Linked DNA regions of Lepisosteus oculatus. The protein of the gene in region 3 purifies or fractionates together with the protein of the main gene of each other region. This does not show direct contact. Links are inferred from orthologs where the notes say so. Each region holds a gene or a part of one and is shown on either strand. Other genes may lie near its edges.

Region 1 (7,691 bases), on a different chromosome or scaffold from region 3:
CAGGATTTATTGAGAGCATCCTGTAATACGCCACAAATATAATTAAAAACAGAGCTGTGCTAGCTTATATTTGGTTAGAAATAATTGTGTTCTTTAGCTAATAAGATCTAAAATTACAATGTTTTAATCTTGATTTAATCTAAAGCAGATGATTTGAACCTTTTTAAGAGCTGATTCCAGAATAGTCCATTAAGTCAGGTACCTTCCCCATTCTTGTTGACACCTACGGTAAGCTTGTCTGTGACGGTGACTTGCCAGACTTGCTGTGTGCTACAGTCTGTATTATAAGCTTTGCACTATGGGAAGCACCAGAAATTCCAGCTTCCCCATTCTTAGAACATTTTACATTTTCATCTGTTCAAGGCAAACGATTAAGAAACCAAAAAATAAACTGACCGTGCAATTCCCCTCTTCGTTAATGATCTCAGCCTTTTCATTTTTTTTCTCCCTATCCCTTCGACTACTTACTCTCATCTGTGTTGCCACAGCGTTCAAGGACTGTGGAAATACCCGCCATGTGACATCAGCATTTAGGTCAAAATGAAACGTATTATAACGGAAAATAAACACAGCAGCACTTAAAAATAGGTGAGACCTGAAATACTAAGTAAATGAGTAGAACATTTCTTACAGATCTGAAATACCTATTTATTTATAGGCAGGTCTACAGAATAGTCAATTTAGCAGGACTTGATATGGAAATTATTTTTTTTTTAGACGAACCGAAGTAAAAGGAAAAAAAATGGGATATTAATATTACATGTTAATAGTACGCTACGGCTTTTTCTATAAAGATAAAAGTCCATCCGGATATTGGATTTTTTTCTTTCCTGTATACCTGGAAAAAAAAAATCAGATAAGGTCTTTGATCTAATTCCACAGCAACACAGACTGGCCCCGTTAATTTTTAATGCCGTTTTTGTCTCCCTTGTGAACACATTTGTCAGGGGCATTCTGTCAGCCTGCTTAGGTGCTGTAAAAGTACATTTGATGAATACACTCAGACCTTTCTCTCTGTGATAAATATAACAGGCATAGCTTCATTTCTCGGGAGGAGGACCACTAGCAACACCGTATGTAGTTATGATGGCCACTTACTTCAGATGAGTTGAAATGTTTTATAATTGACAGTACATGGGAGAACAGCCACCGTGCCCAGTGGCACAGTCTACGGTCATTAGTGAGCAGACGTGCGAGTTCACGTTGTTTCTGCCGAGCCTCAGGGTGGGCCCGAGAAGAAAGGAGGAAAACCATAAGTCAAAATGGCAAGCTGTCAGGAGGACAAATATTAGCCAGACCCTCAGGATCAAGAGACCCTTGCTGCTTAGATAAGAGAGACATCCACAACAAGAAACACTTTAAAATATTTCATCTCCTTTATCGAATGCAGCATTGCTTCCGGCGTAAAGATAACTTCTGGGTTCAAGCGTGTCGATTTTTTTTTTTGCACAAAACATTAACCAAAAAATTTAAATGTTTTGTGAATGACTTCGCAGAAAGAAGACCTCTATTCGCTCTGGTTTGCGTTGTAGGAGGTACTTCACCTTCTTAACCTGAAGCCAGGCTCATCATTGCAGTAAAATCAGAATGCACTGTATATATTCTGTACTTAGCAGTTGAAGGTTAACACTTTTCTAGTCTCCCCTTCATTAAAAAAAAAAACACATCTCGGGTAATTGATCGCTAGTTTCCAAGCAATCCACTCCAGCGTTAGAAAAATTAAGAGGATGAAATAGTTATCGATGCAATACAATTAATAAAAATTCTTCCAAAGCAACCAGTAGGGATTTTGAATGTGCATGTTAAAAAGTCACAAAAAAGTCCGTATAAAATCGCAACACCAAGGTTAGTTACGTGAAACGCTGAGTAACACACAGAAAAACCATTTCCATCAAAGCAAACGAGTATACTGTATTGCCGAGGCTGGAAAATTAATCAAAGCGCGACTTACAATATCGCCCGTCTCTCCGCCGATTTTCCCCTCATTTGATGAAAACCATCTGGTTTCCCGGAGACTTACCAATAACCGGCTATTTCGTCCAGACTGCTCCCTTGTTTTTTCACCGTACACTGGTAGCATGGAGTATTAGTGGCCGTGGGGGGGTCACGGGCTGTCACGACTGAGCGTTTTTCACACACGTACAGAGAATATAGGTGTGTATTTCTGTTTGATGCAAAAAATGCCAAGTCAGACGGGGGGGCGGTGGAGTGTGCTGTGACTGCAGAGGTTCACATCTCCCGGTTACTACATCCAAACCACACCCACCGCATTGCAGAACTAACACACAGAGCACCGCTGGGGTGTCGTGTCAGGTCTGAAGTGACCGAAAGCAGGAGAGTCGCACTGGACATCCGAGGCGGCGACTCGCGTACTTCAGCCACTAAAATACTGAAGCGAGCAAACGAGCTATAAACCCTTGCCGTTATTAGCTAAAACATCGTCTTCATTTTTTTTTCCTAACGGATACAAGAAAAACTTTTTCAAGTGCTCCGCATTGAAATAAACTCAGTGACCGGAGTCTCTTTTTTCCGCAAAATGAATTCCCTGCAGCTACTTCACAGCTTCTAAATGTATCAAAGTATCAACCACAGATTTTTCTTCCTGCGGCGACAACCTCGAGTGCACGGATGTATTTAAATAGCCACCGTAGACGTTAACGCAGGCACACACAAAAAAAAACGCACACGCAAACACACACACACACAATCTGGCACATCTAAAAGGAATCGCACTGATTTGCCCGAAGAGATTTATTTTGTGGGGAGAAAAAAAAACAGGACGCGCATACTGTATACAGTATCAGGGCGATGCATGCCCAGGAAATGTACAGTGTGCCCCCTTCCCTACCTCATTCCTGCAAACACAGCTACAAAAATTCTCGTTTTCGCTTTGACACTTTCGATGCAACACAACGTGAGCCCGCAGATCCCCCTTTTTTTTTTGCATACGATAAGTTGCTAGCTTTTTACCGGGTATCCCGTGTCCCCCCGCTCGGCTGATGAGGCTGCAGCTCAGTCCGCTCTCTGCTCGCCAGCTGTGTCACCGCCAGCGCCAGCGGGCTGAGCAGGAGATACGGGACAGCGCGGCATTCTGGGATACACGAGGACAGCCAGCGCACCCTCCGCTTATTCTAGCAGAAGATGCGGGAGCGAATGAGAGCCCACCTCCGGGATGAGTCACGGCCGGTACGGGCGACCCACACGCGTGTTGCAGGACCTAGCGGGGCGAGGGATGGCCACCGAAGTCACCCCAAAACGAACACGGCGCCGAAGCAGAGCAAACCCCGTTCGACTGAAAATACACGTAGACGGTCTCGAGTGGAACTTGGGATGCCCACTTCTCCCGAGCAGAATTATCTTGCTGGGCCAAATAAGCAGTTTAACTCGGGTTTTTTTTTTTGGTGAAATTTCCGAGAACTGAACGTCTGAAATTGGACATGATCTTCTTTCAAAAATAAAGATGTTCTTGAACAGATTTTCGGAGTCCTTTTTTTGTAATTCAGGGCAGCAAAGGTATATATTTTGGAACACGCTGAACGTTTGAATTTAAATTCGCTTAATAAGCTTTAACAGCTTTTGAAAAAAGTGTCCCTGGGTCAGTTTCCTGCACTGTGTTCCTGGCCACGATGGGTTAAAAGGACATATGTTATTTTAACAGCACCCGCCAGCTGCAGTGTTCATTCATGTATAATTAAACTCTTGTAACTAATTGCACACATTTAGTCTTCACAAATTCTAAATGAACCCTGGCAAAGGCAAAGAGCTGCTTAACTGACAAAAATTCCTTTCTGGGTTCTGAGTCTTGACGAACCATACCATGTATTCAGTATCGCAGCATACAGTACATTCTACTTGCATTTTTTCCATTATCCTGCATGCATTACATTGTATTCAATTTATAAATAATTAGGCATCATTAAGAATTCATTAAATATAATGTGAGATTTTTTTGTGTGTATAACAGGGTTCATAGAGTACAGGGGGCCTGTTACAGTGAAATTATGTGAACACCATGACTGCGACATCACTATGACAGCCTCATCTTACACAGCAGGACCTGTCAAACTCCCTCTCGCCAAAACCCGCAGCAAGCTTAGAAACTGATAGGCTCTTGCCTATCCACAGGTCCAAGGCATGGCATTAATGTAGTGTGTGGGGTTGAATCCCAAATCCTAGCTGCTGTCTCACGTACTTTCAAGTGCCTGACCTACACAGCCAAGATAAATGCTACATCCAGTACCAAAAGGCCTACACCCCTACAGTGGAGATCATTCAAATACTCGAGAAAGCTAGGGAATGACATGAAAGTGACACCCTCGTCTTCCACTGCAGCACCTGCTACAGTCACACAGTGTGGACAGGCCATCATGAGGACAAGATGACCAAATCCCAGTCCGAAAGCCAGCAGTCCATTCCAGGTAGAACACGTCTTTATGGCCCCGTCTTGAGAAGCACATGTACTGTGATATTTTATGCATCGAGTGCTCAAGCACACCACACAACCACACCTGCTGAGGTACCATCTTCCAGAACCATGACCATGGCGATAGGGGTTAGAAGGCACCTGAGAACTTTTATTTACTGGTGAGACATTACAGGTGCTACACAAGCTGCCAGCTGTGGTCCAGATCACACACGCCACACGACGACAGATTGCTATGCTTTTTCAGACCTGGTGTTCGCTACTGTGACCCTCAACAAGAGGGTAACTTCAAGGTTAAGTCTGAGCATGTGTTGGAGGCAAAATAAAATGCACTTCAATATATACTGTACAGTAAGTCATTCACAGCCATCCTGCCTTCCCAGCAAAGCTTTTACAGTGATATTGGGTGGATGGTGTTCATCAAGAAAGCCTGCATTATGGACTTCAGTGTTGCACTCAGTGCTGGTATCCTTCTTACTCTTGTGCGGTCACTTAAAACCAGTAATTACTCCCTATGCAAGTACAAATCATGTTCTGTAGCACTCTGTAAACTACAGTGCAAAACAGAAATATCCTTAAATGACTTTTTAAGGAAGAAAAAAAGTTGCTCTTGAAGGTTTCTATGTTAAAGCACTATAAGAAAGACTTGTGTATCTCCTAAACTAAACATTTTTTTAAACCAAGGGGAAGTATGGGTAATTTAATAGCAAGAAAAATGCACACATTATCTCTATGGATAACACCATATACTTCTGGATTCAAACCACATTCTTAGGCGGACCTCTGAGGTCCTGACCCACACAGCCCAGACAAGTGCCATTGTATTACAATAAAATACTGCTCCTCTCCTTCAGGGGGCTGGAACATTCTGGAGGAAGCAGAAGACTGAAATCACCACGATAATTTTATTTTACACCAGAAACTCTGCAACACACTGCTATTCTGAAATCAGTCCAGAGGAGTGATGCCCCATACAGTACATGTACATTTCTGATCACAAAAGAATGTCTTCCTCGGGCTATAAGAACTGAACCTTTTTAGTCTTGAACAAAGATCACAAGGGGTCCAATTCAAGTACTGAAAATGATTAAAGTAATTGAAGTCGATGACAAAGTCAACCAGCTGGACATCTTCAGAATCAACACTGAATCATGAACCGGGGGCGAAAAGTGACAACTGAAGGGAAGTGCGTTTACAACAGAACAGGGGCACTTTTCCTTACACAGGGGTGTAAGCTATAAAGATCCATGCTCAGTTTAAGATGCACGTTAAGCAATCTGAAAAACTGCTATAGGTTTACCAAACTTGCTTGTTTTGCCCCCCCATCATACTCTTTAGATCAGTTCACACCCATTCCATACCAGAAAAGTGCCTATCCCTTGGTAAGGAAAAATAAAACAAGCTGCCCAGCAGAAACACCATGGTGTCTGGAGGAGGGGAACTTCTCAGAGGTGGCATAAGGCAGGACTGCTCCAGGACAGAGCACCAGCCCACAGCAGGGCAAACTTGCGTGTGCACAGGGAAAGTGTAGAGACAACACTTACAGTAAGGCAGCATGTTTTAGGAAAGAGCAAAGAAACCAGAGCACCTAAAAAAAAATAAAAATCACACAGGCACGTGGAAAACGCAGTACAGATAGTGCCCTGGTCTGGAATCAAATCTAGGACAAATAACTCACTCTGGAAATAAAGTGACTTTGAAAATGACTAATACACAGCTTTCAGGGGTAGTCAGATCATTTCAATAGCTGCCCACATTGGAATCATCTAGGGAAAATGATCATTAAAATTCTTATTGAGTGTTTATTTAAGTCATGCAGAAAAAGTGTAATGAAGCTTCATGTTTTTAAACGATTCAAAACCAGCACCAACGAAACAAGCCGTTACTGCCACAATGTAGCAAATGTCACTGGGATCCTGAAGTGAAGAAATGAAATGGAGGACGTTAATTGATTTTCTTTTTTAATTTCTCAAAAAAACAGAAAAACATTAAAATATTTGGTTTGGAGCTCAAAGAGCTGACCTGCTCTTTCAGATGTTAAAGCTATGAGTCAGCTGCTGCGGTCCCTAAAAAGACCCACAAAAAAATCACCACATTACAAATCGAGGTCTTAGCAAAATCCATCTGGTTTGGAAGGTCCCAACATTCTTAATGCTTGGAGCATACTTCAGTATAAGAGATTCATTTGCTCTAAGTTGGTGCAATTCAGAAAAGTAGGTTTGTTCCTCTCATAGGCAATTACAGTAAGATGGTGACAACGTGACAATTTCGGCACTAGTATCATTTATGCCATATTAAAAACATTCTCTACAAATTAGGGGAAAGGCTGGAAAACATTTGTTTAAAAGTTGTCAAAATAAGGGTTAAAAAATGTGTTAACATAAAATGTTCAATTGTTTTTCGAACAGCTATAATCACCCTGCAACTCACAGCTGGCAGCCCACAGGAGCTCAGCAGGTGTGAGCCTGGTCAGTACCTGGAGGGGAGACCTCCTGGGAGAAACTAAGGCTGCTGCTTGAAGAGGTGTTACTGTAAAAAGGTACCGTCCTTCGGATGAGATGTAAAACCGAGGTCCTGACTCTCCGTGGTCATTGAAAACCAGGACATTTCTCAAAAAGATTAGGGGTGTTACCCCCCTGTCCAGCCCAAATTGCCCCCCAGCCTATACCAATCATGCCCTCCTAATAATCCCCTTTGATCAATAAACTTCATCACTCTGTTCTCCTCCCCACCGAGAGCTGGTGTGTGATGAGTGTACTGGTGCACTTTGACTGCCGTCACATCTTCCAGGTGGTGGAGGAGAGTCCTCATTATCTGTAAAGCGATTTTGAGGGGATTATCCAGAAAAGTGTAAAAAATCAAATTGTAAGGATCATTTTGACTATTATTATACAACTGTACATATCAGAAAACATATTTTCGTACCAGTTTTCTAATTTTACCAGCTTGTGTACATTTGTAGGATTTGCATCCATTTACACCCTTTCTTATAAGAAAAAGAACACATCTGAGTGAATTTCGCAATGTTTAGCACGGAAAGCAAGGCAGACAAAAAATAATCAATGGAAGAAAAGGAAAATCAAAAGTTAATTCAGAATTAGTATACAACTGCAACCTTAAGTGTTCTCAAAAGTACTTTAAAAACTAACAACTATGTATAGCTGTCAAATGCTATATTGAAAAATGAGCATATGAGTAACATTTTCCCCACTGTCAGCATTAGTATCACCATGTACTGGAGATGTTTCAACTTTAGGAAGGCACTGCA
Region 2 (7,343 bases), on a different chromosome or scaffold from region 3:
AAATAAGATATACTTGAAAGGTAGGAAAATAAATCAAATTCTGCACAAACACACTGTGAAGCTTGTTTCTGTCAAAAGTATCTCTCCAACAAAGATACTCTCAGTGAAGTTTGTGTTTTGAAGGTGTCCAGACAAGGTAAAAGTTACCCACTACAGTTACAATTTATTTAGAATTTATGTGTAAGGGAATATTTTACAAGAAATGCAGTGAATATTTACAGTTACATTTACATTACATGAATTAATTACACACAATATATACATATCTGTATCTATAAAAAGTCCTCTTGTTAATTAAAAAAAGTAATCCATTACACAAGTAACTTGTTACTGTAATTGTTTAATTTTTAAATCAACTTTCCCTAACATTGATTGAGAACATAGAAATGAAAGACATAATAGAGTGCTCTGTGTTTTTATGACAACTCCAGTACAGATATTGTTTAATTGATGCAGCATATTGACAGCTGGCATCCACATCACTCTTTTAGCATGACATTTTTAATGTGGTCAAGTTTGTAGACTGGGCAGTTTAATGCTGTAACACAGGTTCCAAGCTGTAGTGAGTATGGAAGAATTTTGAAGTCTGTTTTCCAAACTTTTAGGGGTAGACAGAGACTGGGAATCTACCTATAAAATTGCCTTAAAATGCTCTTAATCTATTAATCTAATCCTGTCTGAATGTTTAATACTACGAATTTAATTGACTTTTGTGTTGATGTGTGTGTCTAAAAAAGCTGATGTGTGTGTCTAAAAAAGCATGTGAGAAAAAATTTGCTATTTAAATTTGGTCTAATAGAGGGATGAAGTCATCGAGAATGAGATCTGAAATTAAGTAGCTTGTAGCCTGGAATGTACGTTAACATAAGTTGTAACATAGTTGCATCTCTGTATTCTCTAACACAGTGAGAAAAAGTACAAGGAAATCTTCCAGAAAGGTGTTATAATTTTCAAGGACTGCAGTCTTAAGTTACCAGTAGGAATTGGGAATGACCTTTATGGCATGTAACGCAACAGATAATTAGATACAGCGAATGCAATGGAGCAAACATGAGAACATTCTCATTGCCAAACTTCAGGAGACATTCACGATGAGTTGGAATAGTTGCAGTAATGTGCACAATGAAACTGTTCTCTCTCATATAACGATGAGGGAGCACCACTGTATCTTACCACTGAAGACTAGAGAGTACTCCATTACGTTTTGGAGCTGATGCATTGATGCTCTGAACTTGCCAGCTCAGTACTGCATGAGGCTATCAGCAACTTCATTGTGCTGTAAATGGTAAACATAGGTATCTTAATAAATTAGCCCATAAACAAATAACTGTACAAGTTATACTGAAAAGGAAGCAAACATGAAACATCTGAACTTCAAAAAAATGAGAACTGATTGGTTAACTGTTTTTAGATGTGCTAAGGTAAAAATAGCTAAATACATTAAGATACCTGAGATAATGATAATGATAATGAGATACCTTTAAAACTATATTCTTTAATCTGCTCCTATTTCGTGGAGAGTAGAGGAACTACATGATCAAGATGTCAAACCCTTAATAAGGCCTTGTCTATCCAGTGGTATTTACTGGATCAAGCCACAGATACATTATTTTTTCACTGTCCCAAGTAACTCCAGAAGTCCCAGGAAAGCACTGTAAATTCATAAATTGAAGTTAAGTAAAGGGAGTTGTAGAGGGCATTTACTTATTCATTAAAAACCAAAAGGTACAGCATGAAAATACTGTTGATACACAACTACTTAGCAGGAATGGAGTGTGACAGCATTTTCCTATCGTTAATCATCGATGGAAAAACAGTCAAAACATCTCTATATATTAGAGAAGCTTGACATCAGACCACGACTGGTCACGTCCCAGTTGCACTACGTCAGCAGCCAGAACAAAACGGCAGCGTTCTCCTAATAAGTACTTAGAGGAAGTGAAGAGGACGATGCACAGAATCTCCACTCAGAGAATAGGACGTTTCTTTTGGTAATTACAAATAACTAACGCACCGCACTGCACAGAGTCCTATAAATATACTGTCTGCTACAAACCTTCTTAAGAATCCCATCGCAACTTGCGCTGCAGGACATTTTCTAAAGTAAATAATCATTTTCAGAAAATATTCCTCCTTACTTCTTAAGATACAAAGAAAAACCACTAACATTCTTCAGAAGGTCTTAAAACAACATCAGATTTGACTTACAGTTCAAACAAATTTGTATAAATATATAAAATAAAAATACAGAATACACAATAAAGATGAATGCGACGTTTATTATACAAAATTCTTATTTGAGCCAGAACAGCTCTGTATTCTCCGGCCACTGGATCCAAGGCATAGGACCATAAATCAAACAGGATACTAGTTCAGCGTTTTTATTACTGCGGAGGCGCAACTGCAGTCTCAGTATTTCATTACATAGCAGCGCACAACTGCACTTAAAACGCACTGTATAAAATAGCCTTTTCTCTCAAACCAACAGCAAAACTGAATCTGGAAGGAATACATACTGGGAAGTCAATGTATAAAAAGCCCAACCGTCTGAGAAATAAATGCGTTTGTCTAAACGTTTTAAGAGAGGCCAAGGGAAATAAAGTATAGGAAGCACTGGATTAAGACACTTTTCGGTTCAACTCCTCTACCAATTATTACTTCCCCAATTGGTGCCCCCTTATGTTTCCTTCAGGAAACATCGTTATTGTCACACGAATGCTGGCCTGCAAGATCAAAGTCCTGGAAGAAATCGGACTTTAGCGAGAAATCTGTTGCGACACATAGGATGCAACATTTTACCTTGGCTTCAGCACCCTGTCCCTCCTGGATTTCATTCACCTCCGCATTCTGCGGCTCACCAGCTGTAGCTTCTTGACTCTTGTCCGCATGCTCTGCAGAGGTGGCTGCTCCCATGGTGAAAACCAGACCCTTCTTCTTTTCTTGTCCGCCCGAGAACAATTAAGCACAGTGGCGACAACGACCAGATATCCAGCAACCCAATGCTAACTGCAAACCCCTCCTGGGTCGTCAGGCTCTCAAGTGATGCAATCAGGATCCCTGCAAACTCTTTTAGAAAACCGCCTCCCCTTCGCTATATCACATGCACAGGAGCGAGGCACGCCTTGCAGCATCAGATTAAAAAGAAAAAAAATGTCCTGGGAAGGTGGCTGGTACCCTTGCACTGAATACCGAGCAAACGCTCATAGTTCACTTCCCAACATCACCAGGCAAGGGAGGACCGAAAGCGTCCTTATTTGAAAACATTTAAATGGACCTGATCAAATATGAGCTCTGTCGCCTTAATAAACAAACTTCTTATTATTCCTTTTCCAAATCAAGATCCTGCAGCGGCAGGATTGGTAGAATAGTCTCCCCTGCAGCATTTAAACGTACAGACGTAAAGGGAGAAAACGCCACTGATAAATAATAATAATAAAAAAAACTCTTAATCTGTTTCGGAGGTGGAAGATCATGAAATGTAAAAAGGTCAAGCACACATTTACATGAACTCCCCTTCTACATCAGGCACTGCAGTGAAAAAATTCCTGTATCAGCACCGCGCTCATTGCGGGATATGAGCTCTACCACCTCTCTCGGACATCTTCAATTACATTTTGTGTAGATTGGCGTTTTTCCCCTCACTTAAAAACAACAGTAATAAATATTATTTTTAATTTAGTGGTGTATAATGTGGATACAATTTGAAAGCAGAACACTTAGAGGAAATACCGTAATTATTATTAATAATACTTGCATTATAATTAATATAACTTGCAAGACTTAAAAACGCAGTGTTTTATTTAAGAGTTTATTCAAGAGTTTTTTTTGATCATTTGAAGCAGACGACATCAAATTATCCAAATCTGCAGCTAAAGTTCAGTGTTCTAATTTTCTCGTTTATCTCCCTCTTTTAAATACAACAACACACTGTAGTCTGAATAAAGTGGTCATAATGGGGTGGCCAGAAAAACCGGACACTTTAATCCAGAACGGAATTTTTAAATTGTTCTGAAACTTTAAGTAGCCTAATCAACAAGTAGACTGAGCACAAGATTTTCGCATTATTATTAGCTGATTATCTCATCATGATATTAACAGTTTTATAACATTGGGAAACCGCATCTTTAAATTATTCGTCGCAAAAAATAAATTGTTTCCCATAGCCCTACTTTGCACAGACCCTCTGGATCACAACAAAGTAGTGGTGGCAAGACAACAAACATCTGATTACGTGTCATTATTTAAGTAAAAAATAGATTGTGATATTGTGAAATGTACAACAAATACGAATAAGTTTGCATAAAGTCGCTGGCTATACTTTTTTTTGTATTATTAATTTACTGTTGAGGTAAGATGAGTCGAGGCCAATTAGTAGTCTATTTGGCTCAGGTGTAGCAGATATTGCTTTTATGGTACCTGAGCAGCTTCAAACATCTCTTATTCATTGATCAGTTTATGATGGACAGGCACAGGTGGAAATGACACTGTATCAGATACTTATTTTTTTCCTTCAGCTGAGGTCAACTGGTTACATTGCAGGCAACACACATTAATAAAGGCAGTTCTGTTACTCAGACGTTGGTACAGGATTGATACCAATGATAAATCCCATTTGATCCTTTTAGAGTTTAAACAAGTTTACAAATATGCCCCAAATAGAAAACTGAAACCAATTAGCTTGTGATTAAGAACTCAGCTGGTGCTTAACACAAAAAGAACCTTCCCAATGACTCTACCACATATAGGAGATGCAGAAAAAAAGAGACTTAAACAACACACATACATGGAAGAAGTTCTGACAGAGTCTGGGTTACATACAGTGTTTACAAATGTCTGTGGTCATTTTCATAGAATTAGATGTACCACATCTTTATTTCACCATGCTACTGCATCTGACAATAAGATAAAAAGCAGATTTTGTCCTCTACTCTATGACGATAATGATCTCAAACTCATTTCCAGAAAAATGTCAAACAGAAACGATGCTCTGGAGTTCATCAGAAAATGGCTGTCTTGAAACAGAGATCTGGCTTCAGACCCAGAGCACATGTTCAACAGGAGCACTGGAGTACAGAATAAAATGTCTGAACTCCAAGTTCAAAGGTGTAATGTTAAAACATGAGGGTTAAAGAAAGTACATAAAAAAATGACAGCGAAGATGGCATCTCTCTTATGATACCTAAATTGGCCACACTATGTTATAGTATCAACATTCTTTGACACATATTTTTACTTGTAGGTGTTGTTTACATTCATCTGTGGTTCTTTGAACTACAGTACTTAATGTAATGTATATTGTTTTGTGCTCAAACTGAATAAACAACAAAGCTTGAACTCTTTCTTTTTTTGTAAATATGCACCAACAAAGTACAAACCTGTTAAGCCGCTACAATACTTAAGCTGATTTCTTTATTATTGAATTTTTTTACTTTTAAAGTAGATCAGAATGGTGTGTTACTACCACAATTACCAATTCTTATAAATCCTTTTAAGTCTTGGATATTTTGTGTAAGTTAACATAGCTGAGAGTTGTATTTTATATTAGAAGAAATCCCCTTTTCTGAAACAATTCCTTCAACAGTATGTTCTGCCACAGATCTATGATAGTTCATTCAAGAAGCCCAATTAATAAATCTGTCAATGAAATAATAATACAGCTAACAATGAGAAAGATGGGAAATTGAGACTTTTAGTGTCAACGATTAGGTATATGACTCAAATACCAGACAGCAGCTCATTCCTTGAGAAATTTCAATGATTGTGAAACGCTTTTCACAGAAGTTTCAGAACCAGTGTTAAGCAGAATATCTACGTCTTAAATTATCATGGACTCCTCTTCCAATATAAGGGTTTAGAAAAGATAAAGCAAAATGTTATGGAGAGTTGCACATGGCACATCACTTGACTGCAGGATTCCCCTCTGCAATCAAAGGTGTCATTGTTTCATCTATTCGATGCTACTGGTGAACAGCAAAACAGCTTGAAGAAATTGGATTTAGAATTTTTTTCATTTCTTGTCCCCTGTGTACCATCCTAACAAACATTCTATTATTTCAAAATCAGATTGATACATATTGTTAGGTGAAGAGACACATAATGTAGTACTGTAATTCCAATTACGGAACTGTCCAACAGTAAGTCAGAAAAGAGAAAAAACAGAGGATCCAGAATTAAATTATGAAAGAAATGAAAGTTCTGTACAAGCACATGACTGTTGCTTCATTCAGATTCTTTTACTGCGGAAAAGAAGTTAGTGGATCTGCTCTTACATAATTATCAATTACAATGAACAAAGTGGCTTCTCTGTGTTTTACCTCAATTCAGTGTCATGGGGCTTTAAATAAATTGTGGTGTAGGAAGAAATCGATTTCAATCTTTGTTCTCTGCTGCACAGGATCTTGGAATAAAATCTAAGGCAAATGAAAAGTTTTCATCTTTTTCTTCTAGAGACGAAATTCAACAGTTGAACTCTATCTCAATAGGCAATAGTGACCCCTGTTGAGAAAGGGCCAAGGAACATTTTTACCTTAATTAAGACAATAACTCCTTTAGATTAGTGCACTGGCAATCGGCTTCTGCTGGCTGGCTTCATCTAATGCAGAGGAATATTTGCTTACAAAACACATTTGAAGGACAGACACACAGTATCAACTGTCCACGCCATAACTGCACCCAGTGCTTTGAAAGCAAATAGAAATGTACAGATCAGGAGTATATAACATTAGAATGGTTTAACAAAAAAAATCGAACAAAAATGGTTACAGAAGAAAAATGATTCATTATTTGGGTAAAGAAGGTATTCATAACAAGAGTCAGGTGTACAACCTCTATCTTATTAACTATATTTCCCTTGGAGTTCTTGTCACCAGTATTCAATGTTGGAATTCCAGGTTCGGCCAACGCAGGAGAATCAGCATAAACATTTTAGAACTGACTGACAGTAATCTGCTCACTATACTGGCAAACACTTAAGCTGGAAAAAGAAATGGCTGACCCAGATTTTTATGTCATGAACTCTGAAGTGGTGCTCTGTCATACCATATACTCAGAAGAAATAGAGTTCCTTCAAAAAGCATTAATTTTGTGTGTCTATAGAAACAACAACAACAACAACAACAACAATAATAATAGTAATAATACTTTTTCTCATGTTTTGACTGTTTTACAGAAATATGTCACTGGAAAGAGAGTTTTATTTCTCGAACCAGGACTGCCAAAATCTCTCACTTATGGTTTCATGCTCTGTTAAAAGTATTGAAAAACCCTGTTCTGTGGTTATGTAAAATGAAAACATGTTTGTTTCTCATATGGTTTTACTTAAAAGTGTTAAATAGAAATTCAGG
Region 3 (8,095 bases):
TCTCCCATCCATCATAAACCCTCTTGTAACTGGTAACTGGCTACACAGAGTCTATCCCAAGAAAATGGGGCACATAGAAGGACTACATCCTGGGCAGGTTAATAGTGTCTTGCATGACACTATTATAAATTGGGCACAGTTCACACACACCCATTGACCAACTGGTTAATGAAAACCACAGCAATACAGAAATCCCTCAAGCATACAGGGAGAACGCCAGACATAAGACACACCATGTTATAATCAAACACAGGATCCAAGATTTGTGAGGCAAACTTGATTTTCAAATCAATAAAAACTCCTTTAAACTTTTCAATTTTTTGGTCAATCTCCACGAATAAGCATATCAATTAGACATCTTGCCCATTTTAATTTCAATATTAATTAGTTTTACGCAGTAAAGCAACATTTAGTACACAGGTAACACCAATAACAGAGATCCTCAAGAACACTGCAGACACAGAAATAAAGGCCTAAAACAAAACTGCTGGCAACACGGCTTCTTCACTCATCTCATGTTTGGCTTATACAAACATTTATATAAATTGGAAATACATTTAGAATAGCAGATTATTTACTATTTCCTTAGGCCCTGCCTCATACATGTGTGTTGCATTACCCCACAGGCAAATAAAATAGATTGGTGATATACAGAGAGAAAAGGCCTGTATCAGCAGTCAAATGGACTTGCCCATGATGGAACACACACTTCTTCAATCACAGTTATAACAAATAAATGTGTTAATCCACCCATACTTGACAGACTATTTATTCTACCCCATCATCCATCATTCATCCCAGGCAACTGCAGCAGTAATGGATTGGTGAGAACGCATTACAGCATACTACTTGATCTGTTTCTGTAGCTTCACTGCAGGGGGATAACAAGTGACAGCTTAGAAATCTGACAACTAGTGAGGCAATTCTTTCTTTGAGAACCTGAAAGCATGAAGATATTTTCAACAGATATGGAAAACACCAAATTGAAAATTCTGGCAATGTGGAAACTGTTTCAAAGGCATGAATTGCACAAAAATACTGCAGGCTTGTATTACTTTTACCATGTAGCAATGCCTGTCCATGCAAAAGCTTAGTCTGGGTTTGTGTGCTGCACTATTATAATTCAGTTTAGTTTATCAGTAAAAGAGATTTGAATGGGATGTAAGGACCACTCCCAAGTGTCATGCATGCTGATGTCAGACAGTCTATTGCTCTGTCCTTTTGAAGGGCAGACAGTGCCTTTTCTTTCCTAAAACTCCTGCAGGAACACTCCCTTGTAAGCTATTGCAAATCTCATCTACAACACTGCCAATGCAAAAACATGTTCATCTAAGCATCTCATAACTTTTCTCTCTCCTTAACAGGGGAGGGCATCAGCTACAGTACTGTATGCCACAGAAACCATCCTTAGAGCAACAGGAATAACCACAGCAGAGTGAAAGGAATCCTGTCATTGCGGTACAACAAAAACACTATTAAATGTAGAAACTGTGTCAAAACATCCCTGCCGAGTTGGTGGTAGAAGTAATCACAGAAGAAAAAGACAAATGGGTGAAACATCCAAGCCGCAGTATTGTTTTACCTGGCAGGGAGCAGCGCATGCAGTTTTGCTGCATTGAATCTGAATCCCCTAGGGACCGGCCATGTGACTCCATTCCGCACCGCCATGGATGTTGGAAGTCAAAACTCAAATGTGATTTTTCTTAACCTTTAGATTTTATCCCTGTTTATGGAAAGGGACCACGTTTTTTTCTCGTTTTTACCTTAAATATCCATTGTCCAGATTTAGCCACTCACGTAGTTCTAATAACAATAATTCACTTTAATCCGTATTACTTGGTAAAAATTGTGTTTTCAGGTTTTTGGAACAGAATCACGGAATTATGGAAAGTACCCACCGCCAAGTTCGCCAATTAAATTTTCCCAGCATTGAGTAATAGGTTTTGAGCAGTGCATGTGTGGCCATATTAGCATTCCGTCAATAAAAGGCTCATCAAAACCCTTAAAGGAGCACATAAAATGCATAATCGGGTTTGAACGTTTCCAACTTCAAGCCTTCAAAGTGGTCTGTCAAAGCTTGAAATCACAACATACTGCACAAGCTTGTAGTTAGTACATCGTTCCTCTCGGTTAACATGGGATTCGCAATACATTACCTAACCTACTTTCAGAATCTAGGGAAGGAGGAAAGAAAAAATGGGGATAAAACACAAAAATGCAGTCTTGAAGACCATTTGGGCTATTGCAGATGTGCACGCCTATCCATCTCATCACTGGCCCTCCTCGCAGTACTACAGCATAGCTTTACAGGTCTGAATCATAAATAGAATAGTTTTTACCTGCAGTTCCGGTGTCTGTCGCCGATTCTCTCTCAGTCATTGTACCCGCTGTTTGATCTTTCTTTGAAGACACCCCAAAAGAATTAAACCATTTAGTCTTAGAGGGGAAGAAAAACGTTCTTGCTCACTTTGCAGCCTGTAGCGTTGGGTGATAAAAGCCTACTTTTATGCTTCGCTGCAGGGGCTCTTTCCCCTCCGTTCTCTCTTCTCCCCCCTTGCTCCTAAGTGCCTTCCCACGGATGGCGAGGCAAATTTCACATTAAAAGAAGCCCAGACTGACCCGTGAAACAGCGAAATGCCTCTTGTTGAATGTGGAAGATACCGCAAAAAGAAGACCGAAGCGATTGCTGGTTTCTGATTGCCAGTTCTTCCGTGGAGCCCCTCCCCTCACTCTTCACTACGGCTCCCAGGCAAGGAAATACTTCCCATTCCGCAGTACTGCAACCTGAAAGCTGAAGGGATGCATTTGTGATTTGTGGAGTAGCACTATTTCGTACTCCCTTCTCCCATTGCCAAAACATAAGCTAGTCAACCGCTGCGAAAACAAGTTTATTAGCCATTCATGCTGTAATTAGAACAGAGTGTTCGATAAGCACGGACGAAGAACTGTAATTGATGCTATGAGCTTTTGAGCAATGCCGTTGCAGTGTAGTGTATTCAAGGGGACTGCGGATGTGCGTGCACCAGATAGCCTACATTTACAGTATGTGCACTTGTTTTGCCTTTTGCTCCGTATAGGTAGAACGCTAACTGCTAGAACGATTCCAGCCTTTCTTTTTCATTTTGGGTGTTTTGGTTTTTTCTCTCACTGTCTGAATGTGTGTGAGTGGTGGGTGGGATTCTTGCATTCTAATCATCCTTTCCTTCCCGCAGAGTGTCGCATGAACACTTGGGAAGTTTTAAGCAACCAGTCTGGAAGTGACTGTCAGTTGTATTTGTCAATGTCAATTTTCTGTGGTTCAGAGCTAAAGTATGAAAGAGTAAGGAGGTTGGCTAAAATGGGACTTAACAAATGCCTCAAATATTTGAGCTGAGTTACACTGAACTTTATCACTATAATGCATGATCATGAGGATGTAAGTATATGCTGTCGTTATGTCTTAAGTCTGACCAATACATGGATTGGGCTTTTTATAGCTGGGCACATGGTTGAATGAAATACACAGAACATAGGACCATAGGCAGTGACCACCTTTTGTGGCGGTAGTTTACATTATCCATAACATAGAGTATAACATAGGAACAAGTAATATGTTTATTCCATGCTGAAAAGAGAAGAAAGCATGGAATAAATCTATTACTTGTTCCTTGCAGCCTACACATGCTGACGCAGCTACCCACCTGAACTATAGTACAATATATACTAGCACTGCTAGTACTGTTAGTCCTCCATTCTTGTTGATTTGAAAACATATTCCTGCTTTGTAAATGAATATAAAGTGAATACTATTTAATTCTAGAATTATATAGTTATGCATAAACGTCAGTGGTATAACTGGGTTCCTACTTTCACTTAATATAATAAAAGTGAACTTAACACAATAATGACTAATTTATTCAATAATATTTGTCGATGGTTGTACACTGTACTGTTAAACTGTCACTAATACTTGACTTGATAACAATGTCCTTGATACTCTATTTATCAGGTAAAAGCCTTTGGCCGGAATAGAAGAAGAGTTTTGCAACCTGGATCATACTGGTTTGAATCTAGACTGCATCTTTCAGTCAGTCAGTGTTATATCGAATAGCACCCCTCACGGACACAAACTTGTCATTCCTTCCTTAAGGCACAAAACTCTTCAGTGGCCATGCTAAACTAAATCAACTCTGGCCAAATTGCTTGACATGTATAGTACTGTATGTAACTAGAGGTTTGCCACTTTGTTGCACAACAGCTCTTGTTCACAACCATTACTGGGAGGCATTGCTGAGGTCCGTATCACAATTATTTCAGTTGTCAAAGCTTTTTTACAACCATTCTATATATACAGTTCATGTCAAATAGGAAATCAGCCTGACAGCATGTACTATATATCAGATGAGAAGATTTTGTGTCTTTGATTCTCTTAATGTAGGTAGCTGAAAAATACTGTGTCCAGATGGGATGATTACAAATATTGATGATTTGGTGCACTATGAAGAAGAGCACAAATGAATGAGAATCAGGGAGTTTGCAGGTTCTTCCTATGTTTGCGTGGATTTCCCACAGTCCAAAGAGATGCTGGAGGGTTAATTGACCTCCAGGAAAACTGGCCCTGGTGTGAGTGCGTGTTTTTGTCGATGAGTGTCCTGCACTAGACAAGTGTCCCATCTAGGGTGTACCCTGCCTGGCACCCATTGCTTGCTGGGATAGGCTCTGGCTCAGCTGCAGCTCTGAATTGGATAAAACAGTTAGAAAATGTATGGATAATATGGATAATAATATATCTGAAAACTGCCCGCACACATTCATTTGAATATCATACAGAAGGATAGGAGACAGACTGGACATTGCAATGGCTTAAGGGGTCAGCTGTCATGAGCTAGAAATAGAAATTTGATGCTGACCATCCCTGGACACATGCGGTGTGCTAACACTCCTTCCTTGGAGGGGTGCACCTCCAAGTGCCCACCCAAGGAACAATTAGGTGGACACCTCAGTGGAAAATGCCCAATTAAGGTAACAAAATAGCAGGCTAAACATATAGCAGTCCAAGAGGACCATCTAATATATCAGGAGTAGGACTCAGTCACATCCCTATCACTTGTCCTCCATAGCAGAAGATGAGAACAGCATCATTACTTTTCAGTTTCTTTTGAAAGTTAAAGTTGTTGTTTTCAAAAACTAATGAAAAAGGAAACAGTATTTCATTTTGTGAATTTTAACCGGAATGTAAAACTTTTCAATTTTATTTTTCTTATTTTCACTAAACAAAATGAATCAACAACAAAAGCTGACTAAAAACAGCTGCCAGTTCAGTTCCAATTTTCTCAAACTAATGTATTGTGGGCTGCCACTTCTAAATGACCCAGCTCCACAATTGCCTGACAGTTTGGTGTGGGATTTTGAAGTGTATGTTGTATGGGAATGGGTTTACTTATGACATCCAGCTGTTCTCTAGGTTACCCAATGACTTGATCTACAGTTTACAGTTTACTTTGGAGTTCGGATATGGTGTAACCTGGCACTAGACACAATTTGTTGTTCCCAGTCTTTAGAAATTGGTGATCTGTGTATGACCTACTTGAGAATGCTGTCTCCCACGCCACAACAAGTAACCTAGAGTCTGCATATCACCAGGTTAGAAGTGTGTACTAGGGTGTCTGTCACTGTTCTTGGCATGCTGAACCCTGGGTGTGTTAGGGGCATCCTGAAATGTAGAGAGTTTAGGTAGCACAGAAGCTGATATTTTACATCTGTGTAGAACTATGGAGACGCCAGGGTTAAATAGGGAAAAGGGTATAAGACACAGCTAGGACAAATACAACTGGGAACACAACAAGAAAGGTAGGAGCACCCGCTAGAGGAGGGATGACGACCTTGAAAAATTGTCTAACCTCTCCCAAAGACATGCCTTATATTCTTGCATGTCATACATAGTTCTATAATTAGTTTTCAAAGTCTGTGACAGCAATAACACCTTTAAGTTCTCTTTGAAGTTTCTAAACACTAAAAAGTATATATCTTTCTATCTAGAATGACAAAATGCATCTGGTCAAACCAGTTTCCTACCCAGCTGTCTTGCTCCAATTCCTGCTTGACCACTCTTTTACAAATTCTGGTCCTGAAATAAGACTAAAAACATTTACATAATAGCAGTCATTTTTTTTATTTAAATGCTGAGCAGCTTCACACGTGGAACGAATAAGCATGGAAATAAGCTTCTAGAAGGACAAAAGCAATCTTTTTTTCAATAACAACAATCAAATGTCTATTTGTGATATATATTTGTTATATTTGGTAAACAAGAGAAGTATGTTTTATGGAATGCTGCTTTATATCTTTTTTAACTTAACATACAACGTGCTCCAAAGCAATGTTGTGTTTTGGAGGAAAAAAAAGTTTTGAGTGTATGTGGCAATTAAAATGGATGTCAAATTTGACATTTGAAGTTCAAAAGCTGTGTGATCCATATAAACACTTTGGCAAATTAAGTCTTTGTAGCAATATCTTAGTAGTATTTATAGCAAATTAAATGAAACAAGAGAGTCATCTTTTTTGAAACACTTAATGGATTTGTAACAAGCAAGGAATGAAATACAGTAACTTTAATTATAATTTAGAGACTCCTACCACCATCATAGTTCATTTACTAGTCACTATTTCAGAGAATGCCAGTGCTGCCAAAAATGCAAACTAAGAGGTGGTGGTTTGTGGTGATGCTGTTCTCAGGAACACTTTAACTAATATATCATAAAGGATCTTGAGTCAACCACAGAGTGTGTTTCCCTGCAACTGAAGTGGCTAACATTGTCCAGAGGACACTGGACAAATACAAGGGAATAGCAACAGTAGCAAATACAAGTGAATACACAATTGATGCTGTTTGTGTTGGGACAAGGGATTTGAACATAAACAGCACTCTTTACATATGCAAAACATTCAAAGAAATTAGAAATCACCGAAGAGCTGCTCTAAGTCTGTATTTTTCCCAGAAAGGTGAAGAATGGGCGTGAATACTGTACATCACATTGCTGAGGACATGGTGAAGAAGGAAAGCTTTCAATGGCAGAGGTCATCTGTACAGACATGACATGGTTTCAAAAACATTAGTGAAGAAGAGAAGCGTTATCCTAAGAAAATATGGAAAAGAGATAAACACAGAGCACAGTCAAAAACAAAACCCAAGCATAAAATAAATGGCCAGGTAATTTAATGCTTATAGCTAAATGCCAGGAGTAGTATGAAAACAATACAGGAAACAGAAGATGCTGGATTCACAGTGTGCTGTAACTGGAGTCTATGAAACATGGCTAATAGCAAGTGGTGACAAATCATTAGTGTTATGATAAAAGAAATGTTGATGTAGACTATACTTAAAAATGAGCATTCAGGCACATTAAGTTAACACAGATGAATCCAGAGAATCAGAATCTATACAGGTTCACAAAGAAAACCTTTCAAAAAGAATAATGTGAGGAGTATGCTACAAACCACACAAGCCAGACATTAATGTTAAGTCTAATTGGACATTTTTACTTACAATCAACACTAAATAAAGAAAACAAAACAGAGAGAACCATTTAGGAACTGCATTCATAAGATTTTGAAATACATTTTAGATACAAGAAAAGCAGACTATGCTGGTAAAAAAAAACTAAAATGAGATAGGATATACATGAAATCAGTAACTGTTTAAATATATTAAAGAAAAATATCCAGAAAGAGAAATCACCATATAAAATGAGTACAAAATATCAGGATCAAGTTAAAGAAGAGCCAAATTCCAAAGCTAAAAGATATAAAAAATAATTATATTATAATTATAAATTATATATTATATTATAAAATAATATTTTTTCAGCATTACAAGAGCTAATGAAAAGTAAGGATCAAGTAAGGTGCTTAGATTTGAAAATGATAATCTTCAAAAGATTAAAAGGAAATTACTAATTGAATATTTCGCTTATGTGTTCATCAAGGAAGAAATCAATAACATTCCTTAGGCTGAGGAAAGACAGAGTTCTATAAGAAATAATATGAGCATAGAAGAGGCTGATGTTATCCTGCAAATTGTACATAAAGAAACCAAGAGATGTTGTTCACAGGTCAT

What was found.
Region 1: the proteins of hspa12a (region 3) and epb41l3a purify together in Homo sapiens (affinity purification with mass spectrometry; 4 studies listed by BioGRID and IntAct, with this or other methods). This does not show direct contact. The link is inferred for Lepisosteus oculatus from reciprocal best matches to the Homo sapiens genes HSPA12A and EPB41L3.
Region 2: the proteins of hspa12a (region 3) and akap12b purify together in Homo sapiens (affinity purification with mass spectrometry; 3 studies listed by BioGRID and IntAct, with this or other methods). This does not show direct contact. The link is inferred for Lepisosteus oculatus from reciprocal best matches to the Homo sapiens genes HSPA12A and AKAP12.

What each region holds. Positions count from the first base shown.
Region 1 is NC_090701.1:55,495,428-55,503,118, forward strand, and holds the start of epb41l3a (band 4.1-like protein 3a), read right to left. Parts: upstream 3,089-7,691; 5' UTR 2,971-3,088; intron 2,210-2,970; exon of another isoform or gene 2,021-2,209; intron 1-2,020. UniProt on the Homo sapiens protein: Tumor suppressor that inhibits cell proliferation and promotes apoptosis. Modulates the activity of protein arginine N-methyltransferases, including PRMT3 and PRMT5.
Region 2 is NC_090697.1:48,385,894-48,393,236, reverse strand, and holds the start of akap12b (A-kinase anchor protein 12b), read right to left. Parts: upstream 3,090-7,343; 5' UTR 2,914-3,089; coding exon 2,800-2,913; intron 1-2,799. UniProt on the Homo sapiens protein: Anchoring protein that mediates the subcellular compartmentation of protein kinase A (PKA) and protein kinase C (PKC).
Region 3 is NC_090699.1:32,062,378-32,070,472, forward strand, and holds the start of hspa12a (heat shock 70 kDa protein 12A), read right to left. Parts: upstream 3,100-8,095; 5' UTR 2,380-3,099; coding exon 2,340-2,379; intron 1-2,339. UniProt on the Homo sapiens protein: Adapter protein for SORL1, but not SORT1. Delays SORL1 internalization and affects SORL1 subcellular localization.